Rhinolophus ferrumequinum: one gene and its partners. The protein of the gene in region 1 purifies or fractionates together with the protein of each later gene. This does not show direct contact. Links are inferred from orthologs where the notes say so. Each region holds a gene or a part of one and is shown in the gene's direction. Other genes may lie near its edges. The genes, in order: DDX5, CDK9, DROSHA and TRIM25.

Evidence for each region.
Region 2: the proteins of DDX5 (region 1) and CDK9 purify together in Homo sapiens (affinity purification with western blotting; 3 studies listed by BioGRID, with this or other methods). This does not show direct contact. The link is inferred for Rhinolophus ferrumequinum from reciprocal best matches to the Homo sapiens genes DDX5 and CDK9.
Region 3: the proteins of DDX5 (region 1) and DROSHA purify together in Homo sapiens (co-immunoprecipitation; 4 studies listed by BioGRID and IntAct, with this or other methods). This does not show direct contact. The link is inferred for Rhinolophus ferrumequinum from reciprocal best matches to the Homo sapiens genes DDX5 and DROSHA.
Region 4: the proteins of DDX5 (region 1) and TRIM25 purify together in Homo sapiens (affinity purification with western blotting; 3 studies listed by BioGRID, with this or other methods). This does not show direct contact. The link is inferred for Rhinolophus ferrumequinum from reciprocal best matches to the Homo sapiens genes DDX5 and TRIM25.

Annotation. Positions count from the first base shown.
Region 1 is NC_046304.1:42,882,566-42,890,422, reverse strand, and holds the start of DDX5 (probable ATP-dependent RNA helicase DDX5), read left to right. Parts: upstream 1-4,843; 5' UTR 4,844-4,951; intron 4,952-5,143; exon of another isoform or gene 5,144-5,336; intron 5,337-5,586; 5' UTR 5,587-5,721; coding exon 5,722-5,765; intron 5,766-6,990; coding exon 6,991-7,156; intron 7,157-7,513; coding exon 7,514-7,610; intron 7,611-7,701; coding exon 7,702-7,835; intron 7,836-7,857. Other genes in the region: CEP95 (centrosomal protein of 95 kDa), read right to left, coding at 1,531-1,638, 3,009-3,137, 4,663-4,681. UniProt on the Homo sapiens protein: Involved in the alternative regulation of pre-mRNA splicing; its RNA helicase activity is necessary for increasing tau exon 10 inclusion and occurs in a RBM4-dependent manner. Binds to the tau pre-mRNA in the stem-loop region downstream of exon 10.
Region 2 is NC_046295.1:76,825,450-76,833,197, forward strand, and holds the start of CDK9 (cyclin-dependent kinase 9), read left to right. Parts: upstream 1-4,737; 5' UTR 4,738-4,739; coding exon 4,740-5,179; intron 5,180-5,633; coding exon 5,634-5,715; intron 5,716-6,480; coding exon 6,481-6,571; intron 6,572-6,918; coding exon 6,919-7,085; intron 7,086-7,195; coding exon 7,196-7,367; intron 7,368-7,525; coding exon 7,526-7,674; intron 7,675-7,748. Other genes in the region: SH2D3C (SH2 domain-containing protein 3C), read right to left, coding at 1-33, 3,965-4,011. UniProt on the Homo sapiens protein: Protein kinase involved in the regulation of transcription.
Region 3 is NC_046290.1:20,747,345-20,754,909, reverse strand, and holds the start of DROSHA (ribonuclease 3), read left to right. Parts: upstream 1-4,555; 5' UTR 4,556-4,689; exon of another isoform or gene 4,690-4,693; intron 4,694-5,121; 5' UTR 5,122-5,287; intron 5,288-5,718; 5' UTR 5,719-5,845; intron 5,846-6,871; 5' UTR 6,872-6,919; coding exon 6,920-6,939; intron 6,940-7,565. Other genes in the region: C7H5orf22 (UPF0489 protein C5orf22 homolog), read right to left, coding at 565-714, 2,811-2,956, 4,206-4,295. UniProt on the Homo sapiens protein: Ribonuclease III double-stranded (ds) RNA-specific endoribonuclease that is involved in the initial step of microRNA (miRNA) biogenesis.
Region 4 is NC_046304.1:28,459,389-28,466,794, forward strand, and holds the start of TRIM25 (E3 ubiquitin/ISG15 ligase TRIM25), read left to right. Parts: upstream 1-4,398; 5' UTR 4,399-4,488; coding exon 4,489-5,082; intron 5,083-7,406.

The DNA of each region.
Region 1 (7,857 bases):
TTTGATATTTGAAAGAATCTAGCCATTTGTAACTTCAGTTATGATGCAAAACAAACCTAAACCAGAAATTGGATGTTTTATAATACTAGTAAAAACAATGTTTGACAGGTGTTTTTCTGTTTAAAACAAACAGAAATATTGTTTTTAAGCCTTATGTTTTTCTGGCTTAACGAGATACACAAGTATACCCCAGGGGTATACTCAGGACTTCGTAGTTTCCAGGATGGGGAGCATACTCTGCCAACCCAGCAACTTAGACTGCCTGCCAGAATGCAGTGCTTCATAGTGGAGGAGAAACTGCTTTACACAACACAGGAGTAAAAAGGCTGCTCTGCAGGCTACTGGAGGAGGTAAGCAGTTTGTAACTTTTCATGGTGGGTGTGAGTTGTCCGGAGAAGCTCTACTGTAAGAAGTTCTATAAGCGGACACTACCTTGCCATATAGTATGTTTTAAAAGCACAAATTACCAGAAATTGCCCTACTCTGGTGATAAAGCAATTCTAAATTGCAAAAGAACAGGAAAACCCCACGGTTACCCCTCAAAATGAATCATCTCCAAAATAATTTACTACATTTATTCTCCCAAACTGCACTCAAAAACTTAAGACAGTATTTTTGCAAAAATTTGTTCTTGTCAGTATCAAATTAAGAGATGTAAATAACCTATCCTGATTAACATTTATCTCCTTTAAAGAATAAATCAACAGTATAAACCCTCTTTTAGTGATTTGAGTTTCAAGTTCCCAAGATTCCTTCTGTTCATTAGCTGAAAATAATTTATTTTGGGAAAAGGTTCAAAAAATAATTTGTAGTTTTATTTATATTGAATAGATAATCACGATTCAAAATTTAAAAATTACAAAAGGTATATAATGAAGTCTCATCCCACCCTTGTCCTGCAGCCCTTTACTTCCTCTTATTGGAGGCAACCAGTATTACAGGTTTCTCGTATATGCTTCTAGAGAGTTCTACATGAAATCTATTGCATAAATGTTCTCCCCGCCTTTGCTTTTACAAATAGTAGCATACTCTGCATATTATCATTGTAATTGCACCACATTTTTCTCACACAATATATAATGGTGATTGTCCCACTAATATGGAACATTGTACATAAAGAACATAATCAATCATCTTTTATAGTTGCACAGTAGTTCCCTGGAGCTACCATAATTTATTTAACCTGTCACCACGAATGGACACTTAGATGTTTCTAATTTTTTAGCTACTACAGACAAGTAGCATGGTAGCTTTAAAATAACAAAACAACAATAAAAAACATACCTCCAACTACCAGCTCTAGGACTTTGACTGAGATCCATCATAAACTCAATGTCTGACTCTCCCGGGAAAGCTCTCAAGGATGGCTGCCTTAACTATACATACTCAATCGATTGTCTTGGCTCAGTCTTGCCATTTGGTCTATTTCACAAGCTTACTCATTTGGCTAATTAAATAATGTCCTGGGTTCTGTCTAACAAGTTATTTTTGTAAAATGCAAAATTATCTGGAGATGAAGTATATACCAACCTGTTATGTGAGACAAGCTGACCTGCAGGTAATCCAAGGCCAGTGAATCGATTACTGCTTGTACATTGTGAGCTTCATCCTCTTGACTCTTAGGAATAGCTATGAGGTCTGTGGAGGAAAAGCTCCTTAATTTTGCATCTGTGAGGGTCCAAGTTTTCATCTATCTGTCTCGGACCAGGCTCTTGATAAGTTCAACTGCTACAAAAGTAAGCTCTGCCCAAACAGAACAGTTTTTATAAAGTACAGATAAAGTTAATAGAGCCTGAATTCCACACAGAATCTTTATTGGTTGCATATTTATTGATTGAATATGGTTGAATAAACTTATGAACATGCTCTACATTAAGTAGTACACTAAAGAAGAGAAAGAAGTCCCTAAATTCGGGGCCGGATGGCTCAGTTGGTTAGAGTGAGAGCTCTCCTCTCAACAAGGTTGCCAGTTCAATTCCCACAAGGTGGGCTGTGCCCCCTGCAACTAAAGATTGAAAACGGCAACTGGACTTGGAGCTGAGCTATGTCCTCCACAACTAGACTGAAGGACAACGACTTGTAGTTGATGGGCCCTGGAGAAACACACTGTTCCCCAATATTCCCCAATTTAAAAAAATCCCTAAATTCAAGATGGTAATACGATTGTAAGGGCAGCAATTACTAACCTATAACCGTGGGCTGCTTTCCATGAGAGAAAAACAACAACAGGTGTGAAATGAGGGTTACTGTATGTCCTTTTAAAGGGCCCTATTAAGAATTATTGGCATAGAGGTTTAAAAGATCAGTATAGACCTGAGTGCAGAAGGATTTTTAAATATCAACTTAAATTTTGAGTTCCTCCTCTGGTGTTGAGAAGATGAATGTTTTTTGGGAAGGATGAAAATGTATTTTAAAAGACTGGCCTAATAAGTACTTGTATATACCTCGGGACGCTAAAGAGGGTTGAGACTAGCATCAAAGATACCAGCTAGAGGCTATTCCATTATTCCAGGAAGTGAGGAGGGACTCATGGTAACAGTGGGAAAGGAAGAGAGACTACGTAGAGCTTATTTTGGTACATTTCTTATGTGAAGAAATGAAGGCAGAGAAATCTATGGATAAGGACTCTGAGATATTTAACCAGGGATATAGTACAAACATCAATTCTAATCTGTAATATTGGTTAAGCAACAGGGTTGCACAAGTTCCCAAGTTCCACTCAATTTTAGAACCTTTAGTCACAGAAAACGTGTGACTTTCACAAGGCATCAAACATGATTAAACAGTGACAACCAAGACCCGTCAAACTGATTTGACCAAGGCTGTTACTAGGGGTGGGTCTCATAAAGTATTCATTAAGGCAATGAATGCAATAATTAGATAGAAATAAAATGGAGACAAAGAGAAAACTCAAGATTTTATAAATACCATAGGATCTCACTTAAAGGCACTAGAAACTTCTGGGGTAAGATATAGACATTATTACTCCCACTTTTTCGCACCCTTACCTGGTACCTTTTCTCCCAAAATGGATTGATAAAAAGCAATAAAGACATTAGCATCACAATCTTCTAGTTCATGTATTCTCAGGTGTATGTGACATTTCAAAAGAAGGTTATTGGCAATGGCTACCCACTCTGTTGGGAGAGAAAAGGAAAAGGTCAGCCTTAAATAGCACTAGAAAAAGTCATAATCTGAAAAAACAAACAAAAAAAACCCCCTCACAAAAACAGACATTGAATTTTGTAGAAGATAAGGAATTTGACTTTTATAGGATTTCAAAGATCCTCCTAGGCATGATTTTTGAAAAGATGTATCTAATTAATTACTTGGGATGACTTCCAGACTGCAATAATTTCCGTGCAGTCAAAAATGGAATACAAATCTAATTTTGACTGTCGCAACCTAAAATCTTAAGTTATTTACTGTGGTTCTTATTTTACAAGCCATATGTAGGTGTTTTTATTTATAATATATTTACAGGTAAGTGGGAACGTTGTGTCCCAAACAAGATAATCCGAGGCTACTAGAAACTACTAATGGATGTTGCTTCAAATTCCCAATAGCATTAGTCATGGTTTTACCCAATTATCTTATGCAAACAATTTCTCTGGTGTCCAAATAGGTAGTGATTAACTTAGGCTGTTAAGAACTGGAGTAATGACACCAACACTACTGCACTTGTTAGTTTTTTTGTATTTGACTATATGAAAGGAAATACGGAAAGTTTATTTAAAAGTCCCTAAATCCAGAATTAGCACATTACCGATACTGTGGAAGTTTCCTGTGTACGACCCTCCCCACCCCAGATATCGTTGGAATTAGAAAAATTATTTCAAGAGTTTCTCGACCGAAGGTAATTTAGAAAACTTAGAACGTTTGTTCCCTGAAATGATTGTTGATTAAAGGTAAAGTTCCTTTATTCTGCATTCGATTGTCTTCAGTATGTTCTAGAAATGTGTGACTGTGTGTTCAAGGCACGTTATCTTCCTCTTCCCAGAAAACAATGTGTACGTGTGTGTCTCTTAAAGGCACATCATCTCCCTCTCCCCCATACTCATTTCTCACAGCTGACCAAACCATCACAACTAATCTGAACGCTGTTCTAGAGAAAAGGATGAAAGCGTCCTAGACAACCAAATCAATGCGCTTTTCAAAAGCGAGGCTAGGCAAAGCCGGTAACTCCAGAGGGCACCGAAGACAAAAATCCACTATTTTCCTTTGGTAGGGGCATCAACAGATCTTAAGAGTGCCATTCCTCCAAAGTTCAATACAGATTCCGGTACTACCTCAGTCCCCACAATGCAAGAGTAAAGAGCACTTGAAAGCGGCTAGATACCCCAGAGAAACAGGAGTCCGGGGAAGAAACTTTTTGACTGCCCTTTTTTGCAGCCAGGATGCAAGCATACTACAGGTCTCGCCACAGAGACCTTCTCTCCCCGACCCCCAAAATCGCGCTCGACGGCTTCCAAGCGGACAGCGAAGTGGGCTAAGAGACACTCCAGGTAACCTGTTACTACGACGGAGTGTGTGTCACGAGCCCCGCTGGCAGCCCAGACCTAGCTGAAGCCGGCCTGAAGTCTCAAGATATAATAGGCAGGGGCGTTCGGTGACTTGGCCCGCTTTAGTCCACATATACCGGGATTCCAGGTTGAGACTCACCAGCCTCTGAGCTGGCCATGTCGCGGAAGCAGGTCGCCGCCCGACTCGCAGCTGAGCGCGCGGGGGACGGTGTCCTGAAAGGGCCGCAACAAGCCGATACAGCGCTGAGAGGGGGAACGACAGGAAAGTGCAGGGTAGGAGGAGTGAAAGAGGGAAGGGCGTTAAAACGGCTTCTCGCCACTGATTGGTCATCAGAGGAGCACTTCCTTTCGCAACACGCGCCGAGGCGGCGGTTTGGGGGCTCTAGATACCATTCTCCTCCCGAAAGATCGCGCTAAGCGACTCTCAGGTGGGTGGGTTTGACAGTGCGGGTCACGCAACAGCCGGGGCCGGTCTCCCGGCGGCGTTAGCGCGGCATTAGCGCGGCATTTCCGGTGAGCTTTTCGTTTTGTATTCCTCCGCGGACGCCAACTGAGGAAGTAGTGCGGTCCGCTCACCCGGTGGGCGGGGTCAGCCACGTGACAATGTCAGGGTCCGCCTTCCTGTCTCGTATGGTTCTGGGCGTGAGCGCTGTTTGGAGACGTAAACAACTCCAAGTGGACCGAGTGGGTTGCCCTGTGCTGGCCATTTTATAGCCTGTGCTGGACCTGAAAAGGGCGGGGTAGCTTCCTTGAGGTGTGGAAAGACGAGAAAAAGGTGAAGTCAAAGAGAGTGTAGGCTGAGGCATTCCGGTGGTGAGTGGGCCCAGCCATGGAAAGGGCAAAAAACGGGCGACTCTAAGGGAGGGACAGTGGGGGAGGGGAGAGGACATGGCGGATTCCGGAACGTTTGCGGGCGTTGCGGCCTCTGCGCAGGGGCGGGGTGATTAGGTCATAGAGCGGCTCCCAGCATTCTCTGCGGCGGAGGAGGCGGTCCAGCCTATAAAACCGGCTGCCGGGACGCGGCCGGCACCTCATTCATTTCCATCGGTCTCTTGCGGAGCAGCTCCGGCTCCTGTCATCGCCGTCCTTCCGCCGCTGCCGCCCCCGCAAGGCTTTGCTTGCCGAAGCCACCTCCACAGCGACTCGTCGCACCAGATTCTCTCCACTTCGTTCCCCGCCAACCGCAATCATTGACGCCATGTCGGGCTATTCGAGTGACCGAGACCGCGGTCGGGATCGAGGGTGAGTGGGGGAACTGACCTGTCAGGCCCCACGGGTGGGGGATGGGAGGCCAATGAAAAGAACGAGGGGTGGGTAGCGATGGGAACTTGGCTTTTTCAGCCGTTTTTTGGGCCTCCTCAAGGGAAAGTTTGCGCCATTTTGTTATTTGTCCAAAACTGACGGAAAGATTTTTCTAGAAACGGTCCTCAGTCTCGCTTTTTGTTTGGGAGCGTCGGGGCTTCGGCGATTTAGCAGTTGTGGCGAGAATTGAGTGTGTTGTGAGGGGAGGAAAGCGCGACGCTTCGAGGAGAACGAAGTTGTCGCTGTTGAGTGCAACCTTTTGGGAGGTGTTTTAGGAGTCTCGGGGATTTTTTGGGGAGCCGAGAGGGCCGCTTCGAAAGCCATTGATGCGGCGGGGGCAGGAGGGTGGCCGGCGCCACGGTAATCGGCCATGTGGCTGAGCCGTAGGTACAAAATGCCGGCGTCGGACATGGCGCCGGCGCCTTTGTTACCCCGCCCGGCGGAGGAGCTCAAAATGGCAGCGTCGAGAAAATGTGGCGCAGAGAGAAATGCGAGACAAAGGGGGAAGCGCCGCCCCAGCGGGAACGCCGCCCGGCCGACTCCGCCCGGGCCGGGACTCCTCCCCTGGTAGTCGCCAGCTCCTCCTCCTCTTTTTTTTTTTGCGTTATATAATTTTGTTACCTTGATCGGAAGCCGTTCCGCGGTTCCTCCCTAGTCGATTGGCTTGTATAAGTGTCCCCGAGACCACCACTCTTGCTTGTTCTGCTTTCACTGCCTGTGCTGTCCCGTTATCCATTGAAACCAAAGACCCTTTGCTTGGAAACAGCTGGTAAATAACATCGCTGTTAATAAGCTCCTCCCTTCTTGTATTGTCCTTCTCTCAGACATTTAATTCCTAAGCTCGTGGGAAAGACCGGTAGCCACAAGCTGTTGTCTGTCCTTGTAATCTGAGCTTTTGGTGCTTGGGCAGCCAATTTCCGACCTGATAAATCCTGGGCTGTTTTTTTGGCTTTAATAGCGTGTACTTGGGACAACAGGGAAAAGGAGAAGGGTGCTAATTGTGGTTTGGAGAGAATGATCATCACTAAGGACAGCGCTAGGTCTTATTCCTCCAGAAGTCTTTCATCCATCTTTATTTAGCGTGTGCCAAGGAATAGTAAGTTAGAGTGTATATAAACTCCTACATAGACGTTTGAAAACGTAACTTTCTTTTTTTTAATTGCAGGTTTGGTGCACCTCGATTTGGAGGAAGTAGGGCAGGGCCCCTATCAGGAAAGAAGTTTGGAAACCCTGGGGAGAAATTAGTTAAAAAGAAGTGGAATCTTGATGAGCTGCCAAAATTTGAGAAAAATTTTTATCAAGAACACCCTGATTTGGCCAGGCGCACAGCGGTGAGTAATTTTCTTTGGCTTCATCAGGTTTAACTTAGTGACTTACAGTAAATCAAAATCTGACCAGAAAAGTGTTGGCAAATGACCAAGTTGTGGGAAATCATGCCTTTTTATTAGTTGGGGAAGAGGTGTTACTCACTTTTGGAAATAAATGGCTCTGAATTTTTCTACTTAGCATGGTAGAATATAACACAATAGACATTTTTCTGTGCCATGTAGGGTTTTCATCACATGGATTCAGATTAAAATGGCTATGTTAAAGTACCTAATCAATTATAAGATTAGGGGCTTATTGTTTGCATATTTAGTTGGAGGAGGTTGTCATAAGACTTAACCAGATTATTATTTGTTTTGTAGCAAGAGGTAGAGACATACAGAAGAAGCAAGGAAGTTACAGTTAGAGGTCACAACTGCCCAAAGCCAGTTCTGAATTTTTATGAAGCAAACTTTCCTGGTAAGTACTAGTTTTGAGTTTTGTCCTTTTTAAAAAAAATTCCCTTTTCTTGGCCTTACTGATTTTTCTAAATGTGTGTTGATAATCATAGCAAACGTCATGGATGTGATTGCCAGACAGAACTTCACTGAACCCACTGCTATTCAAGCTCAGGGATGGCCAGTTGCTCTAAGTGGATTGGACATGGTTGGAGTGGCACAGACTGGATCTGGGAAAACATTGTCTGTAAGTTTGGAAGAACTTTTGA
Region 2 (7,748 bases), on another chromosome or scaffold:
ACCTCCTTGATGGAACGAGGGGGAACTTGAGGCCTTGAGAGAGAAAGGGACATAGCCCATGAGACCAAGACACCAGGGTCCTGCTCACAGACAGGCTGGATGGGACCAGTATTCAAAGTTCAAATGAAAGGATGGGGTTTCTGGGTCATAGAATTGGGAGAAAAAGGGGAGGTCCAATTCTAGCTTCTTCTACTGAGCACTAACTATGAGCTAGGCATGGAGCTGGAAGCCTCCACAGATCGTCCACTGAATCCTTACAACAGACCTGTGAAGCAAATCCTGCTATTGTCCCATTTCACAGATGAGGAAACTGAGGCTACAGAGGAACAGAGACTAGACAGACACCCAGGTGTCCTAGCTCCCAGGCTGGTGCCCCTCTCATCTCCAGGTTGTTGTTGGAAGAGGGAAAGGGGCCTGCGGCCTGGTGGTAGCTGCGGGTCTTCCTAGTGGGTCCCTGGCTTCTCTCCCAGGAGGCAGTCCCAGGGACTTGGCCCAACTGCTGAGGCTGTGGCATCAGCCAGCACCGACTTCCTGGCCAGGCTCACTCCCGACTTACTATGTGATCCTTCATAAGAGACTTTACTGCTCTGGGTCTGTTTCCTTATCTGTGAAATGGGTCACAGTAGCCCCCACTTCCGGAGGAATATGAAAGGAGCCTATGTACACTCTGGCCTCAGCAAGCCCTGGCAGTTGTTGCGGAAGAATAGGGGTGGTTCAGGCCAGGAAACCCCAGCATCAGGCACACGGCGTGAGCCCCGGGAATACCGGCCACAACGAGACTATATTGTGTGATGGAGGTGCCTTGTCAGCGCTGGGGGCCCTGCCATTGGCCCGGGTACCAGGGCAATTGCCACATCCCTGGGAGAATGAATGGGGCTCAGTGTGGAGGCTCTGCCCAGCTCAGAGCCCCCATTGTGCTGCCTCAAGTGGCCGTTAGGAGTGCGGCTGGGGGACCTGCTGGCGGTTGGCTGTCCCACAGGCCCTCCTCAGCCTGTGCTGGAGTCCAGCCCAGCCTTGCCCACGCTTGGCTCCGCAGCACTGAACACACAAGTGCTCTCCTGCCATCAGGCCTTTGCTTGGGCTGGACCCATACCTGGAGCGCAGCTCTTCCTTCCACCGGCTCCATCTTTTGCCTCCGTTGAGTCCCTCAAGTCTAGATTCAGCTACAGTGCCCCCAGGAACCCTGCTGTGATTTCTGTCCCCTCTCCTTGCCCTCTTCCCCAGTCTAAACTCAGTTGCCTGCAGTTGGGCCAGGCACCTATTAGGGACTGGAAGCCTTCAACTTCGTCGTCAAAGACTCAGGCAAACCTGAGTTCAGACCCCACCTGCATGATCTTGGGCAAGTCACATCAGCTCTCTGAGCTTCATTTTCCCCATCAGTAAAATGGGACAAATACCACATCTTCACACGATCCTGTGGCAATGAAATAAAACATTTATATGAGAGTATCATCCCTATTACGTTCTCCTGTGTCTTTCTTTGCATCTTCCAAACAGACCTTGTGCTCTGAGAGGAAGCAGCCTTACGCATCCACGTTGGCCCCACGCCTGCTGTACTGTGGGACTCAGTTGATGCCTCTCCCCAGCTTGCCCACTTGTCTGGTATTGGGGGCAGTGTAGGATAGTGATAAATGACCCCAGCCTTTGAGAGCAGAGGGACCTGGCTTTGAATTCCAGCTCCATAGCTTCCTGGCTGTGTGGCCTTGGGCACACTCTGAGCCTCAGTTTCTTTTTCTGTAACTTGGGCCTGATACTAGCAACCTCCTAATAGGGGTGCTGTAAAGTTCTAGGGGGACAACATATCAATACAGGTCCTGGCAGAGTCAGTACCCGTCTAGTGGGGACAGAATGTCCATGGTGTTACAGGGCTCTAGGTATCACACAGCCATTCTCTGTACCCCCCATTCAGGGATCCCTTGTCTCCTCAGACTTACCAGCAGCCAAGAGCACCCACCCCATGGGCCCATCTTCCTCATCCCTCCATACCCTCTCCACCCTGTCCCTGCTTGGGGGAGAAAATAAGAGGGTCCAGGCCAGTGGCTCCTTTTCCCATCCTGTGCCTCAGTTTCCCTGACTGTTAAATGGCAGCAGGACCACAGGCTCTCTCACAGCCTTGTAGTCAGTCAGCAAACATTTATTGAGTACTGGCCACACGTCCGGCCTGGCTAGCTTAGCCAATCCAGGGAAGCAGGAAGCATTTCCCTCAAAAGAGCGAATCAGAAATCCAAGTCAGTGAGAAATTGTTTCTGGCTCGCGCTTCATTTCTTCTCCCTTCCACCTGGGCAGCCTGGGCAGCTTTCTGACCACTCCTGCCTGCCCTCTTTCCCCAGGGAAGGCTGGAGACACAAGGCGCAGAGGGGAAGTGAAGTGACTGGTGAAATGTTGGGGTACAGGTCAAAGACAGTAGGGTGGAGGTGATGACACCACCGGAACTTCTGCTGAGGCTTCTGCCCACAGGATGTGACTTAGGGAGTATTCATGGGAAGTGGGCAGGGGCCCCGGTCTGAGAGACTGATGGTGGCACCCACACAAACCCATGATAGACCCCAATGCTGATATCCCCTCCTCCAGCTCCCATCAGCATCCAGGGCACTCATCCAGTGGTGCTGTGCCATGCCTGTGCTCCACCCCCCGTCCAGGTAGGTGGGGTCCTGACATGGGTACGTGCTGGGGCTTTGTGCCAGACTGGCCTGGCTCAAAATGCCAGTGTGGCCATTGGCCAGCTGTTTTACCCTGGCCAGGTGATGTCACCTCTGAGTTTCAGTGTCCTTATGTGTATAATGGAGGTGATAATAGTACTCAACTTATATGGCTGAGTGAGACTTGAGATAATACCCATAAAGTGCTAAGTGTACGGCTTGGACCATTTATTTTCCTTCAATAAATTGTAATTATCACAATTATTTTCTCCCTCCTTGCCCTCAGCACTCCCACTTTAGCCAATGGCCTCCCTGCTTCTAAGTGTACCCATGAAGCTGATCCCAGATCACTCCCTGGTATGTCACTCGACTACCTAAAACCCTCCTCGCCGGCTCCACACTGCCCTCAGGAGAGGGAGGGCTCCCTGCTCCTCACCGGACCCACAAGGCCCTCCCTGGCAGAGCCCTTGTCCAGAACAGGGCCTCTTGGGACACCATAATCAGCAGACCCACTCCTGCCTCCTCCTACAAGGAGGCTACAAGGCTAAGCATGTGGAGTAAGAGCTGGAGAGTTTCATGCAGATAGAGAGGTTCTGGGGTGCAATCAGGAAGCACAGCCCTAAAGACAGGAAGGCCTGGGGAGTTAGGAAACACAGGAGATTCGTGTGGCCTAGGAGGCGAGCTGGAAAGAACCTCAAATGTCACAATTTTTTTTCTTTAAGGGAGTGGAGGGAAATACCTGCAGACTCTATTTCAGAATGCTCTGGTGGGTACTGTGAGGGAGACAGATGGAGAAGCCGGACTGGGGAGGCCAGGACTCAAGATCCATGGGCAATGGAATGGAGAGGGGCAGATCGAAGGGGTACAGAGGAGGTAAAAGACAGCTTTTCTGGGGGTTGGTTGTTGAGTGGAGCTGGAGGAAGAATCGGGAGGCCCCCTGGAGCCAGGAAGATATCAGAAAGATGCTGGAGAAGGGCTGAGGCAGGGGAAGGGGGAATACGGCCAGGGAGGGAGACACTGGGTGAATGGCAGGCTTGGTGCCTGGCGTAAGGACAGCAGGCCTCAAACAGCACCACTGCTGTAGTCCTGGCCAGGACAGCCTGAGTCAGGAGAATCCCCTTCAGGCAGACCAGGTTCGAGTCCCAGCTTTGTCATTGTGTGACCTTGGGCAAATGACCTCACTTCTCTGAGCCTCAATGTCCTTTTCTGTAAAATGGGTTAGTGATCCTTACTATGACGCTGTTGATTCAGGATTCAGAGGAAACGCCCAGTACTTCCTGAGTACACAGAGGTACTGAGTAAATGCTATTTTTGTGATTACTGACCCAAGGCTCGCGCAGCTCGGCTGGGGCGGGGGTCCTCTAGGTTTCATCCCTGCCTCCCAGAGAACAGGGTCCAGCGCTAGAAGGCCCGGGCATTGCTTATTCGCCGCCTCCAGTGTTGCCGCGCCCCCTGGTGGCCGTCGGTTACCATGTCAACGGCGGGTGGCTGGGGCCCCGGGAGGCGGTGGCGGGGGCCGTTCTCTCCTCCCGGACCTTAGGCCGCTCCCTCGCTGCCTCCCGCCAGTGAGGGGGGGGGAATAGGCGCTCCCCGCGGCAGCTGGCATGTGGCGGTAAACTGAGGCACACGGCGAGGCGCCCCTCAGCCAGGTGTCGAGTGCGGGGCCCCACCTCCGAAGGCGTAGGAGGGGCCGCGGGCTGTGACGCGCCGAGGGCGGCCGGCGGACAGCCGGCGGGAGGCGGCGGCAGCGGCGGCGGCAGGTGCGGCCGCGGAGGACGGGAGGGCGGAGGGAGGGGGCGGGCGGAGGGGGAGGGGAGGGCGAGGCCCGGGCACCTCCCCCTTTATAACGCGCCCCCTCCCGGGCTCTCGGGCCGCCTCCTCGTCGGCTCTTCCCGTCTCGCCCCCTCGCCCGGCCGCCCCGGGCCCGGGCCCGGCCAGGGAGCCCCCCAGGCCGCGGCTTGGGGGCCGTCCCCCCGCCCGCCACCCCGCGCAGCCCGGCGGAGGCGGCGCCGTCGGAGGAGGAGGAGCAGGGCACTGCGGCTGGCCCGGGATCGGGCGCCAGAGCGGCAGCGGCTTCGGCAGCAGCGGCGGCCCGGGCCAATGCAGCGGGACGCACCGCCCCGAGCCCCAGCCCCGGCGCCCCGGCTCCCCGCGCCCCCAATCGGGGCCGCCGCCAGCAGTGGCGGCGGCGGAGGTGGGGGCAGCGGTGGCGGCGGAGGCGCCTCTGCAGCTCCGGTTCCTCCTGGCCTCCCGGGAACTACAAGTCCCAGGGGGCCTGGCGGCGGGCGGCGGGCGGAAGAGGCGGGGTCGGCGCCTCGAGGCCGGAAGTGGCCGTGGAGGCGGAAGTGGCGCGGCCGCGGAGGGGCCTGGAGCACGGCGGCGGGACCCGGAGCGGGAGCAGCGGCGGCGGCGGCGGCTGGGGGTGGCGGCGGCGCGCTAGAGGCGGCCATGGCAAAGCAGTACGACTCGGTGGAGTGCCCCTTTTGTGATGAGGTGACCAAATATGAGAAGCTCGCTAAGATCGGCCAAGGCACCTTTGGGTAAGGATGGGCCCCGAGGGACCCGGTGCCCTGGGCCTGCACCCCTCAGGGCCGACGTCGGGACGCCCGGGGCTGGGCCAGAGGTGGTCGGGGAGCCACTTGGCCCTAGAGTTATTCCCTGGTCTCGCTAGGCCGCACTGCAGTCCGCCGGGGCCTGATGGAGCTGGCTGGCGGGGAGGAGCCTGAGGCCCATGGTGGGGAACGGGCAGGAATTGCAGAGGAGCTTGTGAGGGGAGCAGGATCTCTCCGAGAGACGTCAGGCTGAGGAGAAGAGACTGGGGAGGAAGTAGAGGTTGGGAGAGGGACCGCAGATAGTAGGGTAGCCCACTGCCCTAGGTACCAGGCTCAGCCCTACACGGGAGTCTCTTTTCTGCCCTCCTCCTCTGGAGGGGGAGGGGCGAGCCATGTGAAAACGGCCTGATGAATCTTTTTGGGTCCCCCTTTCGGCCTGCAGGGAGGTGTTTAAGGCAAAGCACCGCTTGACCGGCCAAAAAGTGGCTCTGAAGAAGGTACTGATGGAGAACGAGAAGGAGGGGGTGAGTATGGGTCGGGTGGGCTAGCTGGCCAGCCATCTCCCCGGGGCATGTGGGTTTCCATCCTGCTGCTTCTAGGACTCACGTGTTGAAATTTAGTTTATGTGTAGTAGCTCGAGAATTTCCATAGCCCAGGAAATTTGACTTCCAAATTAAATCTTTCAGTTCAAATATTTTAAAGCATTTGGTATTTCATTCTTAGGCAAATACAAGGTTGGGGCCAGGAGGGGGAGCTCATGCTTGCACTGAATGCACTTGGGCTTGTGAAGTTGGAAAGCCTTTGTTAAAACACTTCCCTTAGAATTTAATTTTGTTCAGTGCAAAAGGAAAATACATGCAATGGCTTTAAAAGGGTGACTAGTACTCAACTGAAAAGGAGTCCCTCTCCCACCACATCTTAGCTCTAGTCCAGCTTTCAGAGATGTGCTTGTTAGCAAGGAACTTGAATGGTCATTTGTGTTACTACCCAGCAAGTTAAACACAGGCACAGAGCTAAAATTTAAAGGTTGAAGAAATTAGGGAGCGTTTAGTGACCAATAATGAAGTGGTTAAGTATCACTATTTCAATTCATTGTCTGAAAGCATCTTCTTGAGGAGTGCATACTACTTTACACCCATTTTACAGATAAGGCATCTGAGATAGCTGATTTCAGAGCCTGTGATCTTACTGTGTCTTCCCAACCTGTTCCCGTTAGTATAGACCCCATGGCCAGTTCCTTGATCTGCAGTGCGCTTTCACTTTTGACCTCCTTTCTTTATTCCACCCAGTTCCCCATTACCGCCCTGCGGGAAATCAAGATCCTGCAGCTTCTAAAACATGAGAATGTGGTCAACTTGATTGAGATCTGTCGAACCAAAGGTAAGTTGTTTGAATCTTGTTCCCATTTTCAAATGGAGAAAATGAGGCTTAGAACTTAAGGCTTTGTTTGCAAAGTTGGAACTGGACACACTTTTAACCCAGGCATACCTACCAACTGTGACTGCTTTCTCTGGTCCTTTCATCGTAGCTGGTGCTTTCCCAGGGTCCGCCACAGCACCTGGCCCAGAGGACTCACTCGGGAAATACTTTACCAGTGAAGGAACCCACAGATGGATTCTGGGTGTCAGTGGGTTGGAGGGGGGTAGGAGCTGGTTGTGGGAAAATGAGTGGTATATGGGATTTTTTATTTTCTTCTTCTTGCTCCTTCCCCATTCTTCCCACCTCAGCTTCCCCCTATAACCGCTGCAAAGGCAGTATATACCTGGTGTTTGACTTCTGCGAGCATGACCTTGCTGGGCTGCTGAGCAACGTCTTAGTCAAGTTCACACTGTCTGAGATCAAGAGGGTCATGCAGATGTTGCTCAATGGCCTCTACTACATCCACAGGAACAAGGTGGGGGAGGAGAGACCGAGGCTTGGTCTGCCTGTACTCCCACCGCTGGGTGGCGGGGCTAAAGGACCCTTGGGAACCTGACTGAGCCCTCACCTTTGCCCTTCTTGCAGATCCTGCACAGGGACATGAAGGCAGCTAACGTGCTCATCACCCGAGACGGGGTCCTGAAACTGGCAGACTTTGGACTGGCCCGGGCCTTCAGTCTCGCCAAGAACAGTCAGCCTAACCGCTATACTAACCGTGTGGTGACGCTCTGGTACCGGCCCCCAGAGCTGTTGCTCGGTGAGGACTCCCGAGTGGGCAGAAGGGGGCAGGGGCTAGGCACTTAACCTGGCCTCAGCCCCCCACTGCCAGGGCTTCTTGAGCCGCCGGCCCCCGGGCATTGCGTCTCAGGAGGCCCTCGGGCTCAAGGGGCACTCCTGGTGCACTCTTCTTCCCAGGGGAGCGGGACTACGGCCCCCCCATTGACCTGTGGGGTGCTGGGTGCATCATGGCGGAGATGTGGACCCGCAGCCCTATCATGCAGGGCAACACGGAGCAGCATCAGCTCGCCCTCATCAGCCAGCTCTGTGGCTCCATCACCCCTGAGGTGGGTGGCCAGGCTGCCTGGGCCTCTGGGCCCTGCAGGATGCAGAAGTCTCCCTGGCAGGGGAGGAGTGGGCA
Region 3 (7,565 bases), on another chromosome or scaffold:
AATTAGTTATATATACAAAAGTACTTGCACATGTAACTCAAGTCAGAGGATCAAATTTAATTTAGATAAGTTAATTATCTAAAGATAATCATATTAATACAATTAAAACCCCAAATCTATTTTTCAGCCATTGGATTTATTAAAAAAGACAAAAAAACAAAGTGAGGTAATTTTGCTTTTTCACTGCTAATCGTTTCATTCAGCAAACAATAGTTATATTGGAAGGAAATGGTAAAATGTATCAGTAAATATGTATATAAGTCTAAAGGTACTTCAGTGATTTAATGGAGTTAGTCATCAATGGAGCCAAAATTCCAGAGGATGAAAATCATGTTATTCAAAAATGAACTTGACCAACAACAAAATATAAATGGTGTGGTGTGTGAAGAAAGTCAAGAGACTTGAAAACTTGTTCCTGGTGTTTTGAGAACTCTTTTTAGAAGAGCTAAGGCTTAATCTCACCCTATTTGTGTGTAGAGATAATTATTAAATTATTACAGGAATCCAAAATAATATATAAGAAGCAATCAACCTCTTTCATACTCATAAATATGAGGAAATTACCTGATTGTTGTGGTAGAAATGTCTTTGCCTACTGAAAAGTGATGTTTGCCCTCTCTGATTTGCTGAGCCCACGTGGGATGAAGCCATATTATATGAGAAAAATGGCCAGCATACACTGCAGGCATAATCCAATTCTCAATACTTAATTCTCTGGAAAAGAAATAGAGAGGAAGAAAGAAAACTATTAGTGAGTAATTTTTTTCCCCAATGTAATTTCATTCACCACAATATTTTAAGTAGTAAAGGTGAAACAGTTAAAAAAAATAGGAAATGAAGAATAATGAGTTTGATACAAAGGAGAAAATGTGTGTTCTAAGGGACCTTGAGGGGTTCCTGAGACCTTTTCTGTGACCATCAGTTAAAAACAATTTTCCTAAAGCATTCTTTCCTAAGGCATTTTTTCCCTTTTTCATTGTATTGACATTTGCACGGATGTTGCAAAGCAACCTGGTGGCTTGATGTCCTAAGATTAATCAAAGCGACGGCATCAAACTCTACTAGTAGTCATCGTATTCTTCACTACGAAGCACTAACACTCGCTCCCCCCCCCACCAAAGCTAGTTTCACGTATGAATGTCTGTCCTTCATGATTAAACCTTGATCCTGAGTATACATTTAAAAATATTTCGTGTGGCAAAATGAGAAGTATACAGAAAGTACTTCTACTACATACTTTGAAGTACAATAGTTGTCAAGAAAAACCACTCGTGATTCAATTGCAAGCTAAACACCGTTTTTCTTGAAAGAAAGACGGATTGATAAACCGTGGTTATTCAGACTTGAATGAATCTGAATTGTTAGATTCTATAGTCCCACTAAGCTTTAAGAAACTACCACTTGTCAAGCGTTCGTATAGTATTAAAGAATATTCACAATTATCTGAAAAGGCTATGAAAATTCTTTTCCTGAATTTTTTTCATATTCTTCCACCGACAACATACGACAATAGACTGAATGCATTAGCAGATATGAGAATCCAGCCGTCTTCTATAAAGGCAAATATTAAAGAGGTTTGCAAAGATTTAAACACTGTTACTCTTCTTACTAAATTCTTTTGCTTTACAAAATGTATTTGTTTTCATAAAAAATACTGTTATTTTGAAATGAATTAATATTTTCAACGTTTTTCTCAGTTTTAACTTCAAATATGGTAAATATCAATAGCTATGACCCATACTAAAGAAAAGCTCAATAATTTTTAAGGGTATACAGGAATCTTGAGACTAAAAAGTTTAAGAACTATTATTCTATGACTAACTGTACAGTCTGCATACCTGCTTCATTATTCTTTTCAACTTCTAAAATATAACACCTCTAAATATAAAAGAGAGTAAAGACAATGGCAGATGTACCATTTCTTTAGAAATTAGTGCTCTGAACTGGAATTTTGGAAAAAGTCAAATGTAGTAGGCTAAAATTAATTAACACAAGCATTTATCTTTTAATTTTATATTATAACAAGAAAATTACTGCTATGTTACTTTTTATATTGTACAAGTAGGCTACATTCTAACAAATATGTACATAAAGAGACAGCAACAGAATTTGGGGGAACTTTCTTACAGAAGAGAGGTTAGTAAGTCATTATTTACAGCTACATTAGGTATGATCCTTCCTGCAGAATGGAATAAAAATGACCAACTTCACTTCTACCTTTATGGTTCTATATAACTGAAAAGTCGGTAGGGTTTGTGACCTGAAAATAAACAAATTGGGAGGTTGGAAAAATATAATACTGGAAGGAAAGATATACAAATGAAAGATGTGTTGCCTATACAATTACTGAACTATGTGTTTAAAACACATTTTCTTGTGACTCAGTATTCAGACTTTTCAAGTGGAGAGGAAGGGAGAACTGGCTCAGATAACTTCTAAAGTTTCTTCTATTTCTAAAATTCCATATTCCAAAGAAGAGGTTGGCACACATTGGCTGGGCTTCCTGTTTTTGTAAATAAGGCTTTATTGGAACACTGTCACAGCCATTTGTTGACATGGTGTCTACGGATGCTTTCACACTACAAAGGCAGAGATAAGTCGTTGCAACAGAGACCATATGGCCAGCAAGCCTAAAATATCTACTACCTGGCTCTTGAAGAAAAAGTTTGTTAACACTTGCTCTAAATAAAATAAAAAAGGCAAACAAAACAAAAACAAACTCATGAGATTAAGTCTATTTCTCTTAATTATCACCTACTGCAAATTGTATTTCAAGCACATAAAAGATCATTAACAAAATCATATATTACCCGAAAAGAGTGTCCTTGTCAAACACTGTGTCAGCTGGCATATTCACAGGAATAAGCAGGTCTGGGTGTGAATCAAAATGCACAAAACTTATATTACTGGCAGGAAGATGCTTTGAGCCAATGGCTCGGTATATAAAAGGCAGAACCTGTAAAAGACACATGCACACATTCAGAATTGGCACGGAAGTGATGAGAATACACTCAACTGCAGACTGAAGATCAATGCTACACATAACTGCACATAATCTGAAGCAACTAAGTGGTTAAAAAGGAGGAAAATATATGTAGGAAAAAGTGTTCATTGAAGATGATTTGGATAATGACCTCAAACTTTGTTTCCTCAGAACTTCCAACGTGGACCTCCAAAGGCTTTAAGGGATATCTGTCCCTTGCTGCTATCCTGCCCCACAACAAACCCAACAGATAACGTGAGGATGGGTCGGGCTGGCGCTCAGAAATAACCTGCTAGTTAATAATACACGTTCCGGCATTAGCAACGTGTTCAAGCCACCCAGGGTCTCCGGGCCTTTTCCATATTTCAGGAAGGTGCCGTACAGCTCTTTGTCCTGTTCCAGTCTCTGCAGTTCCAGGGTTAAGACTGAATTTGAAAGCACCGCCTAACCCACCGCTTGCTCTTACTCTCAGGCCCATACACGTTATCTCCAGGTCCTGAGAAACCCAGCTTCAACTGCCTTCCTCTCCTCTTGCTGCATCCATAAATCCGAAAGTACCCTTTTCCTCTTTCCCAGAAAACTCCCTAGGCCTATTAATGCCACCTAGAAAAAAATTAGAAAAAAAAGTCTTACATCCATGGCCTTCCATGTAGGCTTCTAGAAGTCTACATTAAGGCACCATTTTAGCTATTCTGCCATAAAAATAGAAAATTAGCACTGCCATAAAAATAGAAAAGATCTTTAGTGTTTCTAAACGTGGGGCATCATGTTAAAAAAGTGAGGTACACGCTATGCACACAATACTAACGGCCCTAAGAGTGCTACGACGGTTGTCCCCATTTCACAGATGACAACCCGCATTCTTTACAAAAAGCCTCCCACCTACACAGGACTGTGATGGAGACGCCGGGGCACAGCTGGAAGCCTGCGCTACGGTGCAGGTTAAGGACTCGGGGCTCTGCAGTAAGGCTGCCGGGTGCGAATCTTGACGTCACCAGTTGTTGGTTGTGGGACTTTTGGGCCAGAGTCAAATGAGGTTGCCCGACGCACAGTAATCGCCCCATAAACGTCAGCGCTTATCTTTCCAAGTTAGCTTCTAAGGTAGGTTTGGTGTTCTCCCCCATTGCAATGCAACTCGCGGGCATAACAGATTCTGGTTCTCTCTCTGGCCTCCTCCGCCCTCGCGCGATTCTGCCCCAGCGCCCAACAGCCGTCCGCTCACCTCCTGATGATCCTCCACCACCCACACCGGGAGCTCCGGGTAGCGTCGGAGGCTAGCACGCTCTCCCGCGGAGTCACTCATGTTTTCCATGCAGCAGCGAGCGCCCCTGCGAGACCAGGACGCGGGGACAAAGATCCGGGAACGCCAGAGAGGAGGGGCCGCCACTCTCCCCGGCTGGAAACACACGCTCACCCGGTTGCGGTTCCCTATTGGAGGACGTAGAGGGCAGGAGGCGGGCGCCGGAGGGTCCAACGAGGGCGATTGGCTTAGATGTCCATCGCGTTTGCTGACGCGCCAATCACGGTGCACAAGGCACAGCGGAGCGCCCCCAAAGCTTTCTCTCCCGCGGTCCGGCTTTCTCAGGTTTGCCTTTTAATTACCTCGGTTTCCTGTTCCGGAGGCGCGGGCGGTGCTAAGATCTTGGCGGCTGCACAATAAGCCTGGCTTTGCTCTGACGGCGACCTCGGCACCCGGGAGCCTTTTTGTAGGTACAGGGGCCACCTTGCGAGTGTTGGGAGAGGGAGCGTTTCCGAGGGTCCGGATTTAAACTTAGGGGCTGGAGGCTGGGGCTAAGGCGAGAGGCGCCTGGAAGTTGGGGTCGGACAGCCCCCCACTTCAGATCTGCAGCTAAGGGCAAAAAAGCGACCCTAGGTCCGGATCCCGTAAATAAATAGAAGTGAAAAAAATGAGACTTTTAATTCATTTGTGGAGCGCTTGCGCTGGTCCAGGCCTGGGGGTCGCCCACGTCTGGGAGGGGAGGTAGACGGTGAGCCTGGTTGGGGTTCACAGTCTGGCGGGAGATGCAAATAGGGAAACACGCAATGCAGCCGGAGGAAGATGACCGGCCTGCGGATTCAACTGGGGAAAGAGGATGTTCTTAAAAATGTGTTCACACTTTGCAACTCTTTCTGCATAGATTCATGTTCCTGGACGTGGTGCATCAGTTTCCCTCAGTTTCCCTGCTTCCAAACAGCGACTTAGGAGTAGGCAGACGGAGAAAATACTTTTCCAGTTGCAGTGAATTCCTTGACTTTTGAATTAAAGTTTGCATCCACAGCACAGCCTGATTATGCCTTTAATAGGTCAGTTTCATACTCAGTGTTTTCAGATAGCCTGTATGGGAACGTCCATGAGGATCTAACAATGAACGTTCAACTGTTACACATTGTTTGAGAGTGTTAGTGATCCTGGCTGTTGCCCACTTCTAGATCCAGAACATTCCTTTGTTTTCCCCTACACCATTTCTATACCTCTTGTGTTTATTGCATTATATAATTTTTTTTAAAAATGGAGGATTCTGAGCTCCTTGAGTCCTGCAGGCTGTGTCTTACACATCCACAGGGCCTGCAATAGTGCCCTATGAATCAGTGGAAAGAAGGCCTGTTTTTTTTGTCTGGTTTGGCTAATGCGAATCTGTTGTGGGTATATGTGGAAGTAAAATATACAGTAGCAACATAGAAACATGTACCATCGGTGAGACAGTAAACATTTATTGACCACCTACTGTGTGCAGGATGCTCTGCCAGGGGCTGTGAAGGAAACAGAAATGACTATGAATCAACCCATGTCATCAAGGAGCTAATAATCTAGTGGAGGAGTTAGACATGTGCACACATGACTATAATATGGGGCAGTCTCTGGTAAGTGCTGTAAAAGAAGTAAGTACAGACTAAGAGCAATGGAAGTCCAGAGGGAATGGGATTACTTCCTAAAGGGAACCCGGAAAGGCTTCACAGGAGAGGTGGCATTTGACATAGTAGGTCGATGAGTAGAATTCAGTGGACAAATTCATAGTGTAGGAGATTTCAGAAGAGTGGGAGCAAAGAACAAGCTGGGTGACAGTACTTGGTATGTTAGGCAACTGGGAACACCAGAGTGATAGGTGCTTCATGAGGACTTAGTGGAGGATAAGCCTGGGTTCAGATTGTAGAGCGACTTACAAAATAAACATGGGGTTTGAATTCGATTCTGTTGGCAGTGGGTAGCTCGTGGTGGCAAGATCAGCTGTCTAGGCCTTAGGTTTATCAAGAGGGCCTCGGACTGAATAATAATCGTTACTCAGGTATTACTTGGCGCCTACTATTTATTAAGCACAGTGCTGAAACTATTTGCCTGAGCCATTTGAAAATCTACGTTAAGCTTATTTGTAAAAGTTTTAGTTAGACTGTAGGAAGATGCTTCTCCTTTAAAGCTTTTTGCACTTAATATTTATTTGAGTTTTTAAAACATTTTGCTGAAGTTTATGTATTTGGAAAGTCATTCACGTTCAGAACATTTTCCGATGAGAAGAGATGAGAATGAAAATCAAGGATAACTGTTGTCGTTACAAGATTATAATTATGTTTGAACTCACTGTGAAAGAAGTTTAGAGTACAGAGAGGGAGAGGAGAAATGAGTCCCTCCCCACCCCCCAGTCTTTTAGCATATTAGAGATGGAACACGCCCAAATTTTTAGTCTTCTTAGCTACTTACTGTTTCAAGTCAGCGGGACAAGGATATCTTAAAAGGTAATTGTAAACTTTAATTCAGGTCAACATGCTCTTAATTTTGGTATTATGATAAATGCATTGGAGAATGCAAAATTAGTGCTAAGATCATTGCAGAAATATTTTCTAGCATTATTAGTTTAGGAAACATTTTTATGTCTATTTTATTCTTTCCTCTAGAGTTTATATTCTCAGTGGAAGATGTGACGTTGATCCAGACAGAACTCCATGATGCAAGGCAATACGTGGTGAGTGGTGTGATAGTAATGGCAGGACTTTTGGGAGAACAGAGAGAGGAGCAAACACTGACCCTGGGCCATGGAGTGGGGGAAAGATTTAGTTATGTGAGGAAAGGGGAAAAAGTGTTCATTTGGGCCGCATACATGGCTAGGAATCCACACTAGAGCAGTTAGTGGGACAACATAGCCCTGTCCCGATGGAGCTTGCAGCTGTGAGCTGCAGGCAGACAATATGGATGGAATTAGGTAGTCAGTTGGTGAATTGTAATTCTTGTAGGGCCTGCCAAGAAGAAGCACAGAGTATGTGAGGGCAAGGAACCTAACTGGCCTGGGGAGTGGAAATAGTGGTTGTAGAAGGTCCATCAAAGGTGTTATTGTAGTAGTTAAGGTAGAGATGATGGTGTGAAGTGGATAAACTCAAGAAGTATTGACAAAGCAGAAATGATGGGAATTTTAAAATAAATTTTTAGCTAAAGAGGATAAAGAAGGAAAAGTTGTTAGGTTATTCCCTGGTGTATGACTTGAGGACTAACACATGTCGGGTATTTTTGCTGTAAGCATCTTTGCCGCAAGCGTTTTTGCTGCAAACATTTTTGCTGCATAACTTATTGGCCGTAAGGCTGTTTTGCCATAAA
Region 4 (7,406 bases), about 14 Mb from region 1:
AAATACAAAGTGAGAAATAGACAATTAGTATATTGAAGTTATTAACAGCTTCCGGCAAAAATTGGTAGAACAACTAGACAAAACAATTGGGAGGGATACAGAAGTTCTGAACCTTGATATAATTGACATTTATACATTCAACAATTTAACACACACTTTTTTTTTCAAGTATACTTGGAATGCTCTCTAAGATGGACCAAATGTCCATCATAAAACAAGTCATAAAATAAGTCTCAACATATTTCAAAAGAGAAACAGCTTACGTAATAGTGCTGACTAAAATGGAGTTGAATTAGAAATCAATAACAATAAGATACCCAGGAAAGCTCCAGATATTTGGAAATGAAGCCATATCCTTACAAGTAGCTAATGTATCAAAGAAGAAATTAGAAAATATTTTGAATGAAATGGTAATGAAAACACACAAATTAAAACTTGTAGAATATAACTAAAGCAGTGTTTAAAAGGAAATTTATAGTTTTAAGCCCCTATATTAGAAAAGGAGGAAGTTTAACAATAATGATCTAATAATCCAACTTAATAATCTTGAAAACGTGAGCAAATTAAACCAAAAGTAAATGGAAGGAAATAATAGTTAAGAGAAGAAATTAATGAAGAAAAAGAGCAGACAAATGACAGAAAATTAAAGCCAAAAGTTGGTTCTTTGAAAAAAATTAATAAAATTAATAATCTATTAGATGGATTAATCAAGAAAAAAAGAAAGAAAACACGTTACTTACATCAGGAATGAAAAAGGCGTTACTATAGATTCTACTAACATTAAAAGAACAACATGGTATATGATTTCACGTACATGTGGAATCTAAAAAACAATAAAATGAGCTAACAAAACAAAACAGAAACAGACTCATAGATAGAGCAAACAAACTTATGGTTGCCAGATGGGAGGGGTATGGGAGATACGTGAAAAAGACAGAGGTTAAGAAGTACAAGCTGCCAGTTATAAAACTAGTCACAGGGATGTAATAACGTACAGAAGGGACTATAGTTAACAATATTGTAATAAATATGTATGGTGACAGATGGTTACTAGAGTTATCGTGGTTATCACTCCGTAAGGTATATAAATATCTAATCACTATGTTGTACACCTGAAACTAATATAATTTTGTATGTAAATTGTAATTAAAAATTATTCAAAAATGATTACAGGAAGAAAAAAAAGACCTCTCATGTTGATGAATTTTCAATTTTCACCAGGAAATTTATTGATAATGTCTTTTTTAGTTGTTATTTTTACAGATATAATAATATGATATGATAAAAGGCTATCCTGGGGGGAGCAGGGGAAAGAGTAATATTATGGTAGAGTAAGGACCTCTGAAAATTTTGCCTCCGTAAAAGAAAACTAACAAAAATTGTCAGGATCAACTTTTTCAGACCTGTGGGAATTAGCGAAGACCTTACAACAATTCAGGGAATGCTTATTCAAGAAAAGTGGCTGTGTGCTCGCTTCCGCAGTACAGATACTAAAATTGGAATGATACAGAGAAGATTAGCATGGCCCCTGTGCAAGGATGACACACAAATTCGTGAAGCATTCCATATTTTTCTGACCCCTCCCCGCCAAACCAATAAAGCATAAAGCATAAAAAAGAAAGGAAGAAAAGAAGGAAGGAAGCAAGAGAGTGAGGGAGGGAGGGAGGGAGGGAAAGAGGAAAGAAGGAAGGAAGGAAAAAAGGAAGGAAGGAAGGAAGGAAGAAAGAAAGAGTGGCTGAATCTTGGTAGGAACAGCAAACTGTGGTGTTTTAACTTGTCCCATTCCCATTACTCCACTTCCAGCTCCCGGTAGTCTTGAAAACCAATAGTCTGCAAACAACTCTGAGACCTTAGAAAATACCGGGAAACTTATTGGTTCTATGCATTCAAGGAAATCTCTATTCAGTTGTTAGCTGATCGCTAGGCTAATGGAGCAGAGACTTTAGTAGCAACATATGACAATAAACACAGACTTCAGGGAATTAAGTCAGAAAAGTCACTAAACAAATAACAACAATGAACAGCCCAACAACAAACAGTGGGGAGGGGGGAATCTGGTATCCACAGTGCCACATTGTATAATTTTAAATATCCAGTTTTGAACAAAAAAAATATGAAATATACAAAGAAAGAAGAAAGAATGGCCCATATGAGAAAAAAAAAACACAGAATTTATCCTTGAGGAAGTACAGATGTTGGACTTACAGACAAAAACTTTAAATCAGCTATTTAAATATGTTCAAAGAACCTTAGGAAACCATGTCTGAAGAAATAAAGGTGAGTATGAGAATGATGTCTCTCTAAATAGAGAATATCAGTAAGGAGGTAATGTAGTATTATTTTTAAAAAGAACCAAATGAAAATTCTGGAGTTGAAATGTATAATGACTAAAATAAAAAGTTCACTGGAGGGGCTCAGCAGCAGATTTGAGCAGTGCGAAGAAAGAACTGGTGGACCTGCTTATGATCTACTGAGATGATGTAGCCTATAAAACAGAAAGGGAAAAGAAGAAAGAAAGGGAAGAAAGAAAAATGAACAGAGCCTCAGAGACCTGTGGGACACCAACAAGCATACCAATAATGGGAGTTCCTAAAGAAGAGGAGAGAGAGGGAAGGCAGAAAGAATATTTGAAGAAAGAACAAAGGAATACAAAAGTAAGAAGGCAGGAACGGAGAGATAGAAGAACAGAAAAGATGTAAGACATAAAAATATAAGGAAATGGCAGATGTAAGTCCTACCTTATTGGTAATGTAATGTAAATGGCTTAAATGTTCCAATTAAAAGGCAGAGATTGGTAGAATGCATAGAAAACATGATCCAACTATATCCTCTCTGTAAGAGCCACACTTTAGATTCAAAGACACAAAAAGGTTGAAAGTAAAAGGATGGAAAAAAGAGATGCCAGGCAAATAGTAACCAATAACAAGATAGACCATATTCAGGTAATAAAAAAAGTTTCCATAAATTTTAAAAGATTTAAATAACACAAAGTATATGCTTTAATCATAATGGAATGAATTTAGCATAGTATGTCTTACGACATATCTACTGCATAGAATTTGAAAAACATAAAGTATGCCCCTCCTGGTCATTTTTTCTAAACTTCTCCTCCAGGAAAGAGAATTCCACAAACATTCTGGCATGAGTCACCAGGCCACCTCACCCACAAGAGGTAGGTCATAGGGGATTTTACGGTATTTATTTACTGAAAGCTGCTCTATGGCTCCTCTTGAGAGGCAGCATTTTATAGTAGAAAATGTTTGCCTTCTGGAATCAGATAGCCTGGATGCCAATATCCATTGTATTAGGCAAGTTATTTAGTTTCTCTAAGCTTCAGTTTTCTCATCTGTGACATGAGGTAATTATACCTACCTTAAAGATTTGTGAGAATTAAATGAGATACTATACCTAAATCTTAATTTCCTACCCACCTCATCTTCTGTCTTCCTCCTCATGCAAACAACAATGCAATATGAAAGAGAACAAATGGGGTCAAGGGGCCTGGAGGAATAGAAATAGGGGAACCAGGAATTGTAATCCCAGTCCTAAATTGTGTAAAATACATGACCCTCATCTATAAAATGGGTATGATTTCTGTCTTGTGGGAGTTATAAGGACTAGAAGCGATTATAAAGATTATAAGAGGGAACATATCTGACTTGTCTAGCACACAGTAGGTGTCCCATAAGTGGTAGTTATTACTTTTAGCAGTAGTCTAAGTCATTTATTTACCTTTTTCTCATTTTTGCGGCTCATCCTCTCCCCAGTGCAAACTCCAGCTAACTCCTCCGCAAACGCAATCTTTCTCTTTGCCCCCCACCACGTCTCTTGAACACTTCTCACCTCCTGTACACTGACTTTTCCTGCACTCTGACCAGAGCGGGAGAAACAGAGGTAAAAGAATGGAAGGAAATAAATCTAAATAAACAATTTTGAGAAAAATGTTTAGGTTCCAACATTACTTTTTTGGCTGCGTACGTGTGTGAGAGAAAAACCTTTGTGAAACTGGGATGTCTCCAAATCCTACTAGTAAAGTCCTGATAAGACAGTCTTGCCGCCGGGGCGGAGGGGACTCCTCGGGTCTGGATGAGTTCTCCTAAGGAAGGAATGCGGGGCAGGCGCGTTTGTGCAGAAGCCGGACTGCATTTCGGCTCTGACTCCCCGGATCTGGGGTTCTCCACCCGACACGTCGGTTTTCTCCTCCGCAGGTGGCCCTAAGAACCCCGCGGTGGCTGTGAGAATAACTTGAACCTCCGAAGACTGCTAGTCCGAGACTTGGGACTACAGCCACCACCCGGTCGCCAGAGAAGGAACCCCGCGCGCCGGCTCCGCCCCCTGCCCGTCTCCCCGGGCCCCCACGTGATTTCCTGAAAGGCCGAGAGACCGCCCTCCCGCCGCTCAGTTTCGTTTTCTTGGTGGCTTTGGGCTCTTGTGCTACAGTCGCGGCCGTCGTTTCCGCGCGTCCCGTCCGGTCCTCCAAGGAGCGCTATGGCGGAGCTGTCCCTGGCCGACGAGCTGACGTGCTCCATCTGCTTGGAGCCCTTCAGGGAGCCGGTCACCACTCCTTGCGGCCACAACTTCTGCGGGTCGTGCCTGGACCAGACGTGGGCCGACCATGGCGCGCCGTATAGGTGTCCTCAGTGCCGTGCCGCGTACCAGGTGCGGCCGCAGCTCCGCAAGAACACTGTGCTGTGCACCGTGGTGGATCAGTTCCTGCAGGCCGAACTGGCCCGCGAAGCGATCGCCGACGGCTGGACGCCACCCGCTCGCGCCACCGCCCCCAGCCCCACCGACCAGGTGGCCTGTGACCACTGCCTGAAGGAGGCCGCGGTCAAGACATGCCTTGTGTGCATGGCCTCTTTCTGCCAGGAGCACCTGCGGCCACACCTCGACAGCCCGGCCTTCCGGGACCACCTGCTGCAGCCGCCGGTTCACGACCTGTTACACCGCAAGTGCCCTCAGCACAACCGGCTCCGGGAATTCTTCTGCCCTGAGCACAGCGAGTGCATTTGCCATATCTGCCTGGTGGAGCACAAGACCTGCTCGCCTGTACCCCTGAGTCAGGCCAGCGCTGACCTGGAGGTAGGGGGTGGCGGCGGAGGGCGCAGAGGGGCAGCTTGGGCCTGCTGGGTTGTGCAGAGGACGCCGCCGTGCGCATCTCTGTCTCCCCTGGATCACTTGGATGGGGGTGGGGATGGGGCTGGGCCTTGCTGGGCCTGAGATCCGGGACAGAAGACACAGGTGATGGTGCTTACTTTAAGTCTAGGGCTTGGCCTGATGGTGTTAATAAAGGGTTTAGAATGCCAAATATGAGCCCTGGAGGTTACCTCTGTTCCCTCATTAAATCCTGGCAGCACCAGGAGGTGGGTGTCATTAGTTCCATTTTTCAGTTAGGGAAAGCAGTTCGGGAGAGGTTACTTAGCCTGAGGAACCCAGTAGATGGCCAAGTAGGCATTGGGACCCAGCTGGTTTGACTACACAGTTTGCCGTTTCTCCCCAGGAACCAGCTTCATACCCAAGTCTACAGAGTCCAGAGCATAAGACATTCCTGGAGGATTGAGGTCATGTGAGCAAGAGCAGTTGGTGAGCCAGAGAGTTCTAGTGAGTAGGGAGGATCCCTACGGGTGGGTTGTGTCTCAGGAATTCTTGGATATGACCCACAGGAAGAGCCAGTGCTCTTGCACCATAGTGCCCTCCATCCTGGCTGTGTGACTTTGAGCACAGGATTTGGCCCCTGGGCCTGAGTCCTTGTCAGTAATGTGAGGAGGTGGGACCTGGTGGATTCCTAAAGGGCCTTACAGGTCTGTGGTCATTTTGGAGAATCATAACTTCTCCCGGTGGAGTTAAGGCAGAGGCTTGAAAAGGTATCACCTTTTGTTTTATCAGTCTAAGCTCCAAAGCGCGCCCCGATTTCTTTTGATTCTCACAGCACTGTCAGCTGTCCTCATATTGTCAAAGCAGACCTGAGACCTGGGGGAAGTTTGCCGTGGCATCCAGGACTGGGGTGCAGGCCTTGCTTCCATCCTGCCACAGCCCCTCTCTGGCTGGGCCTGCTTCTCCCAGTCTGAGCTGGGATCCTCTGGACTTCTTCCCTGAGTCTCAGAAGCCCGACCTCCAGGCACTGCCTGAGAATTGCCCATCTGAGGCCCGGCCATCTGGGTCTCCGACTGTCATAGGAAAGAACCTGCCTAGCCTTTGGAGCCAGGAGGCCTTCTTGGCCCCATACCAGCTGTGGTTTAGGGTCAGTCACTGCAGTTCTGAGCCTCAGCTTCCTCATCTGTAAAATGGGATTAGTACAGCTCCCATTTTAGGGACGCTCCGGAGAGAGGAGCTATGTGGGACGTGCTTTGTAGGCTGGCCCCAGTGTCAGGCAGAGTGGCTGGCTGACACAGGCTCCAGGCAGAGCTGGATGTTGAGACCTGGGTTTGAATTCTGGCTCTGCTTCCTAGCTGGGAAATCCAGAAAAGGGGGACAATAATAGTACCTATCTCCGAAGGTGATTGGGAGGATTAAATGAGCAACCTATAAACTGCGTTTTATGGTGAAGGCTCATTGCTGTTACTCCTCCCAGGGGAGAGGGAGACCTTAACTCGCTGGGCAGTGTCAGGCTGCCCAGATCTTTTTTGCCTCAGGGTGCCTGGGCCTGCCCATGAAGACTAGGGCAGCCTGGCTCCTGCTGAAAGGCCTTTCTAAGAAGTTCTTACCGGTGGAGGCAGAAGGCAAGTAGAGGCAGGAGGCCCCTTGTCAGCCTGTCTCAGAGCCACAGTTCTCTCAGCCTCCAGGGCCTGGAGCTGGATTCTACGCCCAGATTGTGTGCTGAACACACTTGGCTTTTTAATCCTTGTAACAGGCCTTTCCCCTCCACCTCCCCTCTTTCGCCATTGTCCTGGCTGCGTCCTTTCACCATGTTCCTTTTCCAGCCCTGCTGCTGCTTACTCCTGGTGGCAGAGCCAGCCCCAGCTGGGCATTGCCCCAGCCTTGGGTGGCTGGCTGGTCTCCATCAATAGTGCCTCCCGTGTGGAGGACCCAAGTCCCCAGTCTGTGAAGGGATCCTCAGAACTTCAAAAAGGTCTCTAACCTTGATTAGGGGATTGTTGTGGCTATCGAAGTCCTTGGGCCACTTTCCTTTTGTCTGGAGTTGCGTGGACCCCCTTCTTCCATCAGGGGACTGTCATACATGTTTGATTAATGGTAAATAAAATCTTTTAAAATACAGAATTTAGGAGTTCACGGTTAAGAGTGGCTCTCGGAGGTGAAACATTTGGCAGCCCCCTGGTGTTCTGAGGTTTCTTCCAGCTCTTGAGATCTGCGAGGCCAGACCTGCCTGGGTCTGGCCTTCAGCCTTTGGTCCAGTTTATATTGGCCTCTATTAGAGGCCACGTCAAAGGGCATTGTCACAGAGGTCG